2 linked regions of the Styela clava genome follow. The protein of the gene in region 1 purifies or fractionates together with the protein of each later gene. This does not show direct contact. Links are inferred from orthologs where the notes say so. Each region holds a gene or a part of one and is shown in the gene's direction. Other genes may lie near its edges. The genes, in order: kinesin-like protein KIF13A and disks large homolog 4-like.

The links.
Region 2: the proteins of kinesin-like protein KIF13A (region 1) and disks large homolog 4-like purify together in Drosophila melanogaster (affinity purification with western blotting; 3 studies listed by BioGRID). This does not show direct contact. The link is inferred for Styela clava from reciprocal best matches to the Drosophila melanogaster genes Khc-73 and dlg1.

What each region holds. Positions count from the first base shown.
Region 1 is NC_135255.1:951,637-959,894, forward strand, and holds the start of kinesin-like protein KIF13A, read left to right. Parts: upstream 1-4,432; 5' UTR 4,433-4,578; coding exon 4,579-4,663; intron 4,664-5,026; coding exon 5,027-5,117; intron 5,118-7,138; coding exon 7,139-7,151; intron 7,152-7,789; coding exon 7,790-7,943; intron 7,944-8,258.
Region 2 is NC_135256.1:22,009,880-22,018,353, forward strand, and holds the start of disks large homolog 4-like, read left to right. Parts: upstream 1-4,992; 5' UTR 4,993-5,098; coding exon 5,099-5,117; intron 5,118-5,647; coding exon 5,648-5,779; intron 5,780-6,996; coding exon 6,997-7,202; intron 7,203-8,474. UniProt on the Drosophila melanogaster protein: During embryonic development, some isoforms are essential for proper neuronal differentiation and organization. Required for cell polarity; maintenance of apicobasal polarity.

The sequences.
Region 1 (8,258 bases):
ATTTCGTAACAATTGAATTATACCGGTATCTTATGTATACGTATTGGTTTTAGGATTACACACTGCAGTATTTTAGATATCAGCCGTATATTAAGAAAGCTTAAAGATGTCACAAAACGAAAACTAGGCACTGAAAACAGACGTTTTTTATATGAATGGCAGCGTTTTTATTTCTTTATTGAAAAGAATCAAACTTCAGCAATTTGTCTTCCATGCCAATATTTCAGTTTTGAAGGAATACAACATTATGCGCCATTATGATCAGTTGACACGCGTATTTCAAAATTTAATTCATTGTTTAATTCATACAAAAGTCAAACAAACATGTTCAAAATAATGTGGAATGTGTAACAAAACAAGCCATAATTGTAGTCATTATGCTAGATGAGCAAGTAACTTCATTAGTCACTATCAGTTGCAAATTACTTGAAGAAAGCCGTGCTTGTTATTTATTTCTCGAGAATTCTATCAGCTAAATATTATAATTATTATTTTCATCACATAACAAACTGCCATGCTAGGTGTATCTAAAATCAAGCTTAGAGCCTATTTTGGTGCCTATTTCTCAAAATTTTCTCAGGGCGCTTGTAGCGCGCCCTGAACCCCAGCCGTGTCGTCGCGCACTTTACATCGCTCCCTTTTTCTGGCCCTACAATTTTATTATGTTGTGTGTTTTGGCTCGCCGTCAATCAACTTGGGGTGCCTCTCGTGTACATCATTTCTTAAATACATACCAATTTTTTAAGAATACAAATAGTTTTATCGCTAATAGCAAATTATTTACCACCCCCTAAATTTCGAAACACCCCCCCTGAAATGAAAAGCTGGGGAACATACTGGGTAAACATTACCTTGTTTTTGCATTTTTGAACTCCATTCGCTAGTTTTTAATTGTGTTTCGGAAACTTAAATATAAATTAGATAATTCAATAATAACTCTGTCTTTTTGCGAGTTTTAATTTAATTGCAGTAATAAATATTAGGATCAGTAGAGGTTGCGCGAGACTAACTCCCAATCCTTTCTCTATGCCTTTGCGCTAGTGGATCCGTATGCATGTAATGCAAGGATGCTGTAGCAGGGAAAAAACTTCCTGCTGCTAATAAAAACTGCTAGTTTACAACTGCTTGTCTGAGGAAGTCTGATTTTGGTCAGAAGAAACGTTACAGAAATATATTTGTGTTAGTGTGCAGCAGGACTCTTGAATTGCATAATAAATATTAGTGTCGAAATAGCTGTGACAGGCTAGGCTAAAAATCCTTACCGGTACTTTTAAAAAACAGATTGTTGTATGCGATGGATCATAATAATGGTTTGAAACACATACCCCATTTTACAGGCGCCAACTCGCAAAAGCACTCTTAAAATAGCCCCGGAAATTTTGCAATGGTAAAGCATAGAAGGAATTTTTTGGGGGCCAAAGGTCGGGGAGAGGTCCATAGACGTCCTTTTTTCTCAATTTATCGTTAAATATCGACATCTCATAAAATATAATGGATGTGCATCATTTTCTACATTTTGAATCAAAGAAAATTCAATGTCTTTCAGCATAAAATAATAACATTATTTTGACTCCTATTATGAGATATATTAGCAAATCGCAAGAGAATGACTTACAGACGCCTCTTCCTCAATTTTTTGTTAAATATTACCTTTGTTTGTTTTATATCTCCTAACTGATATCGATGTGCATAATTTTTTACATTCTAAAATAAGTTAATTGTAATACACTTTTATATAATATTAAAAAAATTCTGCTCCAAATGTGGGACATTTTATCAAAAGAAATTGAATTGCTAGGAAGCGCCCTTCTTCGACTTTTCATTAAATCTACTATTTTGCTTTAGATTTTGAACCTAACATCGATGCGCGATATTTTTTAGATTTCAACACTAAGCACTTTATTTTGAAAAAACAAGATTCCTACACCAAATGTTGCATATTTAATTTTACAAAGACGCCCTTTTTCTCGAATTTTCGGCAAATATCACAGCGTTTGCTTCAAATCTCTGAAACTAATATGGGGTTTGGCATTTCAGTACCAGTTAAATTCCATGCATCCTTCTCGACGACTAACATACATAATCCTGACATAATATATAAAAAAAAATAATGATGATATTGGATGTTTCCCCGATCCTTGACTTTTGCGAGTGTTTTGGAGAGTTGACACTTACAAACTGATTTATATGTAGGATACTAATAGTTTAGTATCGCATATAGTATCGTATAGTCTATCGCAGCTTCTCCGGGACTAATTTTTGATTATTGCAACTGAACTGAAGCTCATCGGAAGACATAATATTAATGACAATTAAAATATTTCATTCGCAACTAATTTTCAAACTACTAAAAACGGACAAATAACACGAAAATTCGCAAAAACCATGCATGTATATAAGTCTGAGCGTAAATATATACTACTTAACTACTAGTGTCTGGGCGAACAAAGTGTCTGATCGGCTTCAAAAATCACATTGTTACGTAAATGTTGACTTTTTAATGATTCGTCATTGTTACGGAAATAAACAAGGAAATCGATGCTTGAAGAAACATCCACAAATTTGACTTGACTTTAGATTTTTCACTCTAATGAACTCTTCCGAATTTCGCTGTAATGAAGCTTCGCAATTTCGTCAACTTCTTATGTACGACAGCCAGGAAACTACGTTTATAGATAACTGAGGTCAGGAGGTACCGTAACGTAAGACTAGATAGTAGATACCGGTACTGGAGATACGGTACCGTACCATACAGATACTGGTAGGATAGACTAATAATGCGTACCGGTATTTCACTTACGGTAGGTTATACTTCTACTTATGTCTTTGGTGTTGGTTTTATGTTGGTTTTGTCTTGACTGCACAAAGATATCCCATCGTTACTTAGTTCAGTCAGTTAGAACAGCACTGACAGGGATTCGACATGCTCGCAGAGGTTGGGCACCACTGCTTTAGCCTATTACAGTACTACAAGTACTAGGCCTATGCCATTTTTGTATGCCATGGTGAATGCAAAAAAAATTAAACAATTAAATATTAAACCAGCGTAAATGACAATTTAAAACATTTCCCTGGTTTAGGCACAAAGAGGCGAAACCCCTGCTGCCTTTTTTTACATAATTTGTGAGTTGCAGAGTTGGGAAAATACGGTACATAACAGCATAAAGGAGAGTTTCACCAACAGAGTACCATCTCTGTTCTTTATAGGCTCATTATCGTGATAGAGCATGCTAAACAGGGAGATACTTGGCAAATATTTATGCAAGCAGCATTCAGTAATACGACAAAAAACATTCTAATTGCATCTGAATTACTATAAATTCTGAAATGGGAAATGCTTGCAAGAATATGCTTGAAGACGATAAAATTGACCACGAATAAATTAAATTAATTTTAAGAAAAAGATTCGTTCAACTGACTACTACGACTGCGAGAAAGAAATTTTTTTTATAAATTAATACTGAAATATCAGAGATGCGAATATTTTGTGGCTAACAGCGTATTGCTGTATTGACAAACTCAGGCTTTATTATTATTGTGGACTATGTTTAAATTTGTAATTAAGTCCAAATATGCATAATGGACGCGGCGCTGACGAGCGATAATTAATTGGTCGTCGGCGACGCTGTATCTCGATCAAACATGGTAGCTGGAGCTAAAGTAAGACGACATTCGCACAGTATGCTTGGTCTGGTATGAAATCTGGCACGTGTTGATGTAAAACAGTGCACAAGTTGCCATTCCTCAAGTATTATCTACTTCCATCTGTCGTTATGACATTGCTAGAAATATCGTAATATCGCAGTATCGTAAATATCTAATAGTTCTTTTAAATGTACGCGAAATATTCCACTCAGAACAATGTTCAAATTAAATTTTAATTAAAATTAAATATCGTCGTCGGTAGCTGATTCTCTATCCAATCATGCCTGGGCGTACCATAACTTAGTCGCAGCGCATGTGTGTCATCAAATTCATGGAAAACTGAACTTGCAGTCTGGGGGAAATTACGCCACACATCATCTCGAGTAATACGTAAAAGAGTGTGTTGTGCTGAACTTGAAACAAATGACGGCGGATCAGTAAAAAAGTCAATCACGAAAAATAAATTTTCATTTCCATCCCATAATTTGGAGTGCCGCATAATCGCATTCGGCAGATTTAATGCAGCTGAAAACAACGATTAACAAACAATCAATGTTTTTTTTTTGGTGAATCGCTCTATTTTCCCGAATCGCGTAAATCCAAGGACCAAAAGTGGCATCCCTATCTGTAGGTGGCAAGCAAAAAATTGAGTAATCGAACCTACAACTATTCTACTGTACAACGCTTTGTCTTCATTTTATCAATATATACAAGTACTAATATTAATATTGTCTTATTTTGTTATTTTTTCTGTTAACTTGAAATATTTATGGAACTGTTGCTTAACACATTTGACTTATACTGAGGTGTGCAGACTTACCAGCTCACTCTGTTTGGATTTTTATCTTGCAACTTACGAAACTTGTGCAAATAACAACCAATGTAACTGATGATTTAACAAGAATTTATATCCAATTTGAAACTGAAATCAAGATGAGTAAGGGAGATGAAGATAAAAGGCCTGCTACAGCTTCAAAAGTTAATGTGGCCGTGCGAGTTAGACCTTTTAACAAAAGAGGTGAGGCAAAAGATTTATTATTCATGTATGTGGTGACGACTTTTTAAAGAAGGGATCTTGTGTAAATTTATTTATTATAATATAAATAGCATTCTGACAAACAACATTACTATGGTCGTTGCCAAATTTAATCTGAGGTTTGCGAGTTCGATTTTGTGGGTTCTGTACATCGTCTCATGCTTTCACATATCATGGAGATCTGATATTGTGCATCAACCAAATTTAACTTTGTCCCAGTTCACTCTGGCTTACATCTCTTGCGTGTTTACTCTTAAGTAAGTTTCATCAATTTACAGATAGTGTATGTGACCCTGCTTTGTGCATATTCTCATAAGGAAATATTACTTTTCACATTATTTTCAGAGATTGAATTGAATTCAATTTGTGTTGTGGATATGGAAGACAATCAAACTATTCTGCTTCCTCCACCTGTTGTAGGAAAGGCACCTGATAAGTAAGCTAATAATTTTTTTATATATATATATATATGTTTTTTTCATTGCTGTTACATTACAATGAGCAAAAATCTTTGGGACTGTTCACTGTTCAAAGTTCATTCAAGTGCACAACAAATACCTCAGTTGCCTCATTGTAAATTTGGAACAATACAAATCGTATATGTTTTCCCAAGTTTATATTTTTCGTTTTTGGCATTCCCACTTCTTAACTATTATATATTGATTCCTGTATTTGCAAAATTAAGTATACCGTAGTTATTTACTATTGCAAATGTTAGCAATTTGTTGTAATTGACCTATATTTGATTGTGAACTGCATTGTCAAACTGAAATTCCAGGGTAAACTGGAACATTTTATTAACCTTTTTAATGTTATATTTGTTATCTGGGATGTGTCACTATTCCTAATACCCTTATACAAACAAAGTTGTTTTGCTTTATATTTATATTGTTTGTATATCTGACATGTGTTTATTTTTCACAAGAACGCCCCAATTACATGGCAAGCTAGTACAAAATTGTTAGTAGCCAACTGAGGTAGTTGTTGAGCACTTGAATGAACTTTGAACGGTGAACCATTTTGGTCTTTGTACTACAAGTGTTCGATGCTGATGTAATGTGTGTGGTTCATGAAAATAATTCATTACATCAATATATAATTATTTGTGAACATATCATATGTAGAATTGAATAATTTTTAAATCAACAGCAGTTCTTGCAAGTCATAGCAGAATCTGTCGAAGTTTATCAGCGTAAATATTTTCATGGGAATTACCACATGGTTTTGATCAAATATTTCATTGGTAGCTGCTGCTATTGCATATAGTATATATATTGAAATATAGTGTGTATAATGATGAAATGTTTGTTTGTAATGACTTTTCTAGAAAACTATATTAAAGTACTATGATGTGCTATTATTAAAAGAAACTGACATTCAAATATTCAATCATTTTTTAAATCTCAATCATACTGATACCTTATTAAAGAAGTTAATATTAATAAGAAATATCTAGTTAGAAACCTATTTATACTTTCATGGTCTCTCATTTTGCGTCATAATAATAACGACCTGAGATGCCCTTTGGGGATTATGGTCCTTTTCTTCTTAATATTGACCAACTTTATACTAGTTTAAAAGCCATGATTTCATCAATTGTCTGGGATTGTCCCAACAAAATGCAATGTTTTACAATCAAAAAATATTATTTGCAGTCAATATTATTAATAGTTGTACATTCAACTACAGGGCCTTTGAGGAAAAAAATTCCAACTTTAATAAATTCCTCAATATTACAGTACTGATCAGTTGCCATTTTCATATGACAGTATGTTTAATTAGTTTCACATGTTAATAACTAATTTTTTTTTGACATGGATGATTGTATAATTGTTGAAATTATTTTTAAGTTACCAGGCCTCATTATAAAAATAAAAAAATTGAAATGAGTTATTCATATGATTGATTCATATCAAAATCCAGATTAAATTAAGTACCCAAGTTTATATGGACTTGAACTTATTTTGAGTTCATTGCCTGCTATTTTGCTGCCAGTTATTAAAGCGTTATTATTTAAATCTATTCCTTATGTTCATGTGCCAGTATGTTCTTCTTGTGTTTTAACTTTTGGACACTAAAAAAATGTTGTTGGACACTAAAAAGCTTGTTGATGACCATAGTTTTTGTAATTCCGAGAATTTTTTTGGAAGTCTCTTTTATACAGCTGTTAAATTGCTGATTTTGTTGATTTGAACAGATTCAAATGTATTTTCAAGTTGTTGATAACTCTTGACATACCAGGAGTGTCCTTCATTTTGATATTGAAGGATTTTCTTTTTTGAGCTGTGCTGGTGACCCTGCTTCAATAAGCAAATATAGAAAGAATCTATCTATGCTGATTACCATGTACAAAATAATTGAATTTCTCCATGATCATTGCTCTATCATTGAGCCTGGCTGGCCTATACCACTGCGTCAATATAATCATTAAATTTTTTTTTCATGTATCGTGAACAGAAAACACACCAAGGTAAGCTCAGAATCTTGTGTTTTTTATTCTTTGAATTTCAATTAATATTACTTGACTTTGACACTAAAGTTACCATAATCTGCTAGTGCTGGTTGCCGAAAGACCATAAAGCAAAATTATGCCTAATTATCACCTTGGCCTCGTAATAGGTAATACCAGTGTTGAGTAGCATGTGTTGAATTTCAAAGGGAAAACAGCATCTAATGGTATTCTAGATCAAGTAGGCACCAAACATATATCTGCAATTAAAGTTCAATATATCTATGTTCTCACGTTGATTGACTGTGGTAACCCTTAGCAACCATAATGAAAACTGCATTTTTAAATTTTACAACCTTACAAGCTGTGAGTTTGCTTTTCAAGTGTACTGTGGCATGTTTAATAATTCAGACAATGGCTGTGATGTAACGCTGTACTTATGGGCGAGAATTGAAATAATATTATTATAGCCTACCTGTTGTCGTTATATCCATATACTATACATAACATAAAATGATTGTTCCTAGTAATGTAACGAGAAAAGTTTTGTTGATAACATTCTCTTGAATGCCCTGCTTGAATTCCGGCAAATATATTTCAAATCTATATTTTATTGAAAAACATTTCTTTATATATTATTTCGTTTTTGTTCTTTTCAGACTTTTGCCTTTGATCATTGTTTTTGGTCAATGGATCCATCTCAAGAAAATAAATTTGCAACACAAGAATCAGTCTTTGAGAAATTGGGATTTGATGTCTTAACAAATGTATTCACTGGATACAATGCCTGTATATTTGCCTATGGACAAACAGGTACAAAATTATTATACTGATTGAATAATTTGAATGAAAAATTCTAGGTAAACTTGTGAAGTTGCCTACTCAATGATATTGCTGCTGCGATTCCCTCAATGTAATAGATATGTGGTTAGCTTGCATTGCAAAAAAAAACTGGAGCCTAATTATTTAAATGAAACTTTTAAACTAATTTATATTTACATCCAGGGGTAGTGACAGTTTGCAATTTTGCTAATTATGATGCATTTTGTCATTGTGGTTTAGGGGTCTGTAGCAAATTATGTATGCCTTATTACTTATCGATTTTAATCGGTAAGTATGTTGATGGGT
Region 2 (8,474 bases), on another chromosome or scaffold:
ACTACAACCAGATACAGTTGCCAATGAAACTTAAGCGAGGCGTAATATTGCGACTTTTGTGATCTGAAAGGAAATTCTGATGGGTAGCCAGCTAGCCGCAACCTTTTGTTTAAAGAATATTATGAGATACGACTTAAGAGTCTAAACTTTTATTTGAGAGGGGTGTAACCCAAGCTAATTTGCAAATAGTATTCATGGTACCAAATGTATCACACACTTTACAGTAATTATAAATTATATTTGAAAAATAAAGCACATCAAAAATGTATTTTCAAAAAACAATTTCTTTAGTCAAAAGGCACACTTGATTCGCAAAAATTTGTGAATGCGCACAGTACACCAATTTGTCTAATGTTTTGATTCCATAGGCAGGATGTTGTGGATCGGTGCTGCTCAGGATGGGATATTTTTGCCTCTAAATGCATATTATGTGTTTCACATGAATCCATCGTGCTCAGATTCGACTGTTTTCAAGGTCTGAAGGCTCCAACAGCCTTATTTTATGGGTACACAAGAGAATTTTCAGTGTGGCATGCATGGGTCAGTTGGAGTCACTAACCTCAAGATATCTATAAGCAAGGATAAGATAACCTGGAAGTAACATTCCATAATTTAGAGTAAAAAATGTATCTGCCTCCACAGCCCTTTCAAATGAAAGATATGATGCCTCGGGGGTAATTTCTATCAAATATTTTACAGTATTATGGTTCTAGTGAAAAGGGGTGTGGGCGTTTTTTTTTAAGTGTGGTAGGTCTAGTCGAAAGACACATTAAATGTTTATGCTAACAACTGCGAATTAATATTGCAACGCATACAAGTTAACAGAATTTGTTGAAATGGTCCTGCCTTTTTCCTTTCTTCAAAATCCTCCTTTTTCGAACTATTCTCTTCTTCTCTGGGGATGGCGAAAATTCAAATATCGATGGAACATGTAAGCAGCTGATAATGGGTTATCTTCCCTTTTCCTGAAAATAAATTAAACACTAATCATCATTTGACAGTGCCAAGTTTGTGTATCAGATCAGTAATAAATTACCTGCTAACTACCAAAATAATCAGACAACACCTTCTGACCATTAATGAAGATTTCTTTCAATTTAAAACGCAACTATGCCTACCAATGTGGGTAGTTTTTAGGATAGAATTTATCTGTGGTTGGGGACAGATTGCAAGGTGCAACATCGTACGATTACCATTCTATGTCGGGATTAGTTAGTCAGTTATTTGTTTTAGAAGCATGGACTTGATGGTGGGGTATGTCGTAATCGCCCAGCGGTCGTATGAACCACCCTCAGTGGGAGGAGCTGCAATCTCCTCGTCCCCTCGCACATAACTATCCCCGCATGGGATTGGAACCTGTGAAACTCCCATCTGCCCATGGGGATCAGAGATGCGGTGGCGAGCGTATTCTCAGATGGAAAATTCAATTGAATTCTGGTTATTTTTTGCATTAGCACTGGCATTAAACTTTAGTTATCTATTCAAATTTTCACAATTACTAATAGATTACCTGCTAACTAGGGAAACAATACCTTATGGCAATTATTGATTAATACCTTACACGAGTCAAGTCTGCAAGTAGGCCTAAGCCTACCAATAACAATAGTTTGTCATCTGCTTTCCATTGAAATGAGGGAGCTTATGAATATTTAAAAAAATTGATAACGGCACATCATGACTCACCATCAACGAAGTGCTGTCCGCAAACAGTGAAACACGAGTAAGATGGCTTCTGGACTTGACACCAAGCAGTCCTGCCAATAGATGATATCCACATTGCGCGACGTTCCGGATCTTTTGAAAACAGTGGAATATAGCTGAAGTTCCATTTCGTTGTCTATACTATACGTACAGCCAGCGGAACAATACGAAATAACCATTTTCAACAGCCAAACAAAACGGAAACGTATAATCCGACTTGCAACTGACAGGAGCCAAATGGACGTTTTTGTTTTATTGCCGTCCAGTAACAAGGTCACGTGACCCGTGCAAGTCCTCTATAAAGGGGTTTAGTCAGAAAATTACAAGCATTCGTGGCTCCAAATACTTGAGAGATCAGACTATACAATATAGACCGGTATGAGTGAAATGTTAGGTGAACTTGTTAACCTTTTGATTCAATACGCAAATAAAAGTGAATGAGCAATAGTATGTTACAGCAATGAGTATATATCCTCACTGATTAAAAAAATCTAAATGGAGGTGCATGAACTATTTGAAACCATAAAGGTTAGGTAAACATGCAATTTCGGCAAATGGGCAACTACGTATCGTGCTGAATTAATAACTTCGTAGTATTTGACAAAAGCTGGCTTTTCCAGATGTACTTAACAGTGCGATGCCCGGGTGTGATATACAACAATAGTATTCACCTTACCTTTTTCCGATTTCTTTTTACCTCAACTTTCCAAAATATCATTAAAATTGATAACAACTGTCAAAGCAGGCACGAACACCATTTGTGCTATACCTTGAAAACAGCACACATCCGCTCGTTTTCGTCTCGTCAAGTATGTGCATTGGAGCGTGCTATTGGATACGATCTTCGGCCAAAAATGCCGGAGTTGCGCATCATGTTGTTTAATGTCATTGGTCCCACAGTCCCACTTTTTAACGTCTTGTCCCGGCGTCCCGACCGGTCAGTCAAAAGTCCCGCTTTGGCGTTCAGCCAGCGAGCATAATACACCAACGTTAACAATTAGCAAGTTCTTATGAAGCCGATGTAAATCGGTGTCATCAATGACGTCACAAATGTCGTTTTTTTTTTCTTAGGCCTTATTAATGGAATTTGCCACTGACCAGTGATAAAAGTAATAAAACGAATTTGATTCCATTAGTTTTCATGAAAACGGTGCTAAAGGAAATTTATGGGAGTAGAAAAAGCACATACAGATATTGAGGATAACACCGATTACAAAATTCGCATCGACCTCTAAACGACTTCCAGTGAAGTTAATTCGCCCACTGATATTTCAATTATTATATTCGTCCGAAACTTCATGCTCGATAAAGATAGGATGTGTTTTATTCCCAGAAACTTCGCAATTCAGCAGTACGGTAACCCATGTAAAAAGACACAAACGGCGGCTTGTTCGTTTCAGTAGAGATGTATGGCCTTCTGTTTTCTTCACGATTCAATTTTAGTATTTACAGATTTAATACCCAAATTACGAATATAATATTGTGCAGTGACATATATCACCGTCTTGATTCGCCATGTTGAGTATTGTATTTAAAATTCGCGTATTACGCGAAGTGTGAGATATAATCGTGGTTTGTTTTATCCCGCTGCCAAGTATACCGTAGGTATTAGAGCTGTAGTACGTGGTTCAAAGAGCCGAGTTCAAAAATGCTCGCTAGCTGTGTGATGCCTCTATAATTGATGGACAAAATGGTCAGATGCTCAGTCAATCTATTAAATACAGAAAATAGGTTTTGGAACCTAAAGTCTGAATGTTGTTATAATTGATAAATCTGTACTAATAGATTTTGTATCTTTTTCATGTAGTCCAAAATCCGATCAAATATTTTTCAGTGTCTGATATAAAGTCCCTAAGCCTCAAGTTGCAAGTGCAGGAGTACAGGGGTCCTAATCCTGCAATCTCATTCTTGCATTGGGTCTAGTATAGTTTATTACCACAAGTACTTCCAGTGGGCGTAGCATAACGATTTATGCATATGTTATTCCTAACCCTCACCTGACTATGCCATCCAAAAATTACGTCACAAAATTACGTCATAGGGATTGCCAAAGTATGATTACGATTGCCCGAAATGGCATCTGCGCCGCCGATAAGAACTTGCTAAAGTCTCTCTCTTATCGCGATCGTTGCGACGAGAAAACGAGAGAAATAGCTTGCTCGATTTCGGGTTATCGTCTGCGCGTTTTGGACGACCATCCGCATACTTCGGTGGGCCTTATTACGCCACTGTGACGTCGGAATGACGTAATTTTTCGCTGACGTAGTCATGTGGGGGTTAGGATTGACATATGCAAAAATTGTTGAGCCAGGCCAACTAGAAGTGGATGTGGTACTAAACTATACCAGACCCCTTGCATTTTCGAGTCAGTATATTTTATAAACAACAGTGAAATGGATAAAGGAAAACTTAAAGTTCCTGTCTAGTGTCAGAGTGTTAGACCAGCATTATTTTGTAAATCGAATAGAATTAAATCGATAATATTTACCTAGGCATCAACACTAAACAATCTCTTGTTATTGGCGCAACAAGCTATTGAATATTCGGTTTTCCCATATCACATAAATTCATGCTGTCATGGGATAATCTTATTTCACCAGAATATTTTTGAGTCAATTCAAGTTTCGCTGGTGGTGTTCAGTAAGTTTGAGTAACCTGAAATACCTTCATTTAGATCAGTGCTTAGGTCGCATCCCAAAGCTGGGTCACTTGGAAATTTTGGGGTCGCTTAGTTTTTAACAAAGGCGATACAGTTATTGATTTTATCTTTGTAGTGAATTGAATTGTTTATTTTGGACCAAGTCTGTACATATTGAAGTGTTGCTCAATAGTAGTCTTAAGTGTATATATGTCTGTATGTGGGAAGTATCATGAACTAAAAGCTTAAATCTATTTTGCCTAAGAAATCCACGTACAGACGTACAATTTCAAAAATTTGTGATAAGAAACCAATACTAATGTTTTTTCATATTGGTAATTTCAATTGTAGGCATAGATGCACCACTTGTCGTTTGGTATCTAAACATATCTTTGGGTTGCAAGATTCAACAAACTTTTTCTTTCAAGATTCAACAAACTTTTTTTTTTATTTTTTTGAAAAATTCAGATCACTTGAAAAGAGTTTTGGTTATCACTGATTTAGATAACTCATGTCATTGAAAAAGTGACCAGTGTTCGACTCATTGTACTAGAGTCTTTAAATTGGATATGATTATGTTATTGCATTTCGCTGTTTCATATGTCCTGAATTTTTGTGGTCCAATGTTTCCTTCTTTCATTGATATCAAATTTTCAGGGTATTTTTGAAATTTCAGTTACAGAACCCACACGGAGTAATGTACCTCCCATTTTATGTTTCTATGATATTACTATATTCGGGACGTGACTGAAGTTGAAGATGCCTGTAAGAAAGCAAGGTAAAGATATTTGTATGGTTCTATGGACCACAATTCAGTCAGATTCATTATGTCTTGGAGACCTGACCAGCCATGTGTTAGAATACTATCTTTATGCTCATACAGTCTTATAGTTAATTCCAGTGGTTCTCAAACAACGTGGGCATAGACAATTTCTTGGGGAGCGTGAAGCTAATTAAAAATAAAAAATATTTGTTAGATTTGATCTTGCTTGCCCCTGTTTGTTTTAAAAACTTTACATTCATTCCATTATTTACATTCCATTCACATATTTTCAATGTTTTGTTTTTAACAAAACATACTTTCCTCCTACTATCTGTTATTTGTAGCCTATTGTTAGCTAGTTATTTTGAGGTTGGGCGCGAGACTAGACAAATTCTGAAAGGACTTAAAAAGTTTAAAGAACCACTGGTTTATTCTATAGTGAACTGCTAAGAACTTAAAAATTAAGATTTTCTGAGAATATTAGCTTTTCAAAGGTGCTCACGATTTATTTTATTACCAATCAATTTTTTTCTAAATGTTTTTAGATGCTGACCGTGCTCTTGCCCTTCTGAAGCAATATCATTTAAAACTGAACAAACCTGATGATAGTCAGCTAAGAGATGCACTTGAAAAAGTCATGGATATTTTTAGAAGTGATTTATTTTACGCTCTCTTAGGTATGTAATATATTTGACCATTTTACCAAATTAAAATTCTGTTTTAGTGCTTGAATATCATTAAATTTTTTTATATTCAACTGTTCTTTTACAACATATTAGTCAATTTGAACATGCATGATCTAAGAAAAAAAGTCATTTCATTTTTTTTTTCAAAGATTTTGGAGCTTGACTGTCATAAATTCAAATTTTGGATCTCATTATTTTTTATCACTGCTCAATGTTTTTATCATTTTATAATATATTGTGATGCTTTTACTTGTTTGTCTTACTATGTATAATTTCCATGAAAGGTTTCACATGTTTGTTTCTAACAAAGCTGTGCTAAACCGGCTACTTGAGAGGGGTGTGTGTTGTGAAACATAACTGGCATTGCTTACCTAGTTACAACCATGTTGAGGGGATGGATAAGTGATCCCTGACTAATGGCACCACCATATCTGAGTCAAATATCCACAATAGTGATTGATTAATCATAACAAGACTTGAAAGCTACAATAATATCAGAATACATGATTTACTCAAAATTTTTTTTTGAATTGATCTACCATAGTTTTGTCAATATACTAGATGTGCTGAATTTATTTTGTTTGGTTTGCAATGATTTTTTAACATCTATTTAACAACTTCCACTCATGATTATTTGTTCAGATTCATTGATGGAATATTTAAAAAATTGAAATGCGTTTTGTTTTAAACTAGGTTTCCTACCTACTTTTTATATTAAGTTCATACTTAATATAAAACTGATATTATCTTATCACATCGACTATCACTGAGATAGTAAGTTTATTGAAGAAGGGATAGATGTTTTTTAAATGGATGCCACATTTAGTCAAGTATGTAGATTGAGCCTCCATGAGTTGTAATGAATTATCTTATGTGGCTATCACAGTTTTGTCAGCAGTCGATTCACACTTTGTTTGTTTTACTTGTGCTCTATCTATGCTATCATCCTTGAGGGTATAGTTCACTCAACTGGTTAGACATGAGAACAATTTTAACAATTTTTTAACTGCACTTTTGTTCATCAAACCTTGGGTTTATGATTTGTAAGTATGGTTCAATGAGGGAAACTACATTTTTTTACCTAAAGTATGAAAAAATATAAATTTTGGTGATTATAGGCCTACATGTAGGGGTGCTGTTTAGGATGGGATGACACAGTTTGTTTCATCTGAAAAGGTGTGAATATTACCTTATTATATTTTGTTCAGATATTCACGAATATTATGAACTGACTATAAAAGAGTCTTCAAAACATTTGGAGCAATACTATCATCAGCAACCTGCTTCAAACAACTACGGCTCTATTAGTGGAGTCAAGGAAGATGGAAATTTACCAACAGAAGAATTCAGAACAAACCGTGATCATGTTCGGAGAGAATATCAGCTCAGTACCAGTGCCCTTACAATGGAACATGTGAGTAGCTGCTATGGCCTCCTATACCTTCTTGTGTATATAAATTCAAAATGGGAGATTTGAGCATTTAGTAATTTTTTTATAGATTATTGTTTAGTCTTTGTTTTCATGTCCCGATATTCGCTATATTTGTTTGAAATAGGTTATTTCTTCAGCTAAAAAAAGGCTTAGAAATAAATTTTATATTTTATTTTTTAAATGTAATTATGCAAATATGCTTTTTTGAATATCTTGTGTAAAGATGTCTGAAGAATTCAAATGAAATGAGTCTAAAAAACAGTTAAAATTTCTATTATTCAAAGAGAAATCATGTTCAAGATTTGCGTAATCAAATGACTGTTTTTTGTGAAATTTATTGTTTTTAGAAGAAAAGCCATTTAGAATATTCTATATTAAAATTTGCCAAATCAGAATCCCAGAATATCAATATTGGATAAAACTTTATACTTGTAAGCCTATTTATTTATTGCTTCATATAACTAGCTGAATTGCACAGAATTCCAAATTCATATCCGTGGTACAGTGCCAAATACCATCTGTAACCCTTCAGGATTCTAAAAATTATATACAAACATGAAACTGCAGCAGTTAATTGCACTCATTGTGCAGGCTTGTTTCTAAATATGGATATAAGGGAAAATGCAGACTTCGTGTAAGACCTGCGCAGTTTTGCAACTCTTTAGTAACAAGTTGGCTAAAATGACTTCATCATGAACATTTTTTATAACTTCCTATCTATAGTGAATTCAGTTGTCAAACTCATGCAACACAGAATAACTGATTGAGCTATGCAGTGCATTGACAGCTTGACACAAATGACACAAATACCTGTATCTGCCACTCACTTATGTTGTATTAGGAATTCCCACTGGGTAAGAAGACATGCTTTGACATTAAAAGGACGGCATTATTCCTAAGATTGATATGTTCAAGATGATTTTTTATTGAAATTTCAGTTCTTTGAAACATGAAATACACTCACCCAATGGAAGAAAAACAAATTTGCTATCATATTTTAAGATTCTTTGAATCTTTTTTTCTTGCTAATTGGAATTTGCATTTTTTTGATGAGTCTTCTTGTCTTATAATATTGTTGCGGTATTTGCCAAAGCTTTTTACATCCATTTACTATGCAGTGTCAATGGGGATTAGATTGGCAGAGGACTGACAGTGCCAGGTTGCTTTTGACAGGTGCCTGTTGCAGACTGTTGAATAATTTATCCCCATTATAGCCTGGTTGTTGTGTGCAAAAATATCTTTTCTCCTGGAATG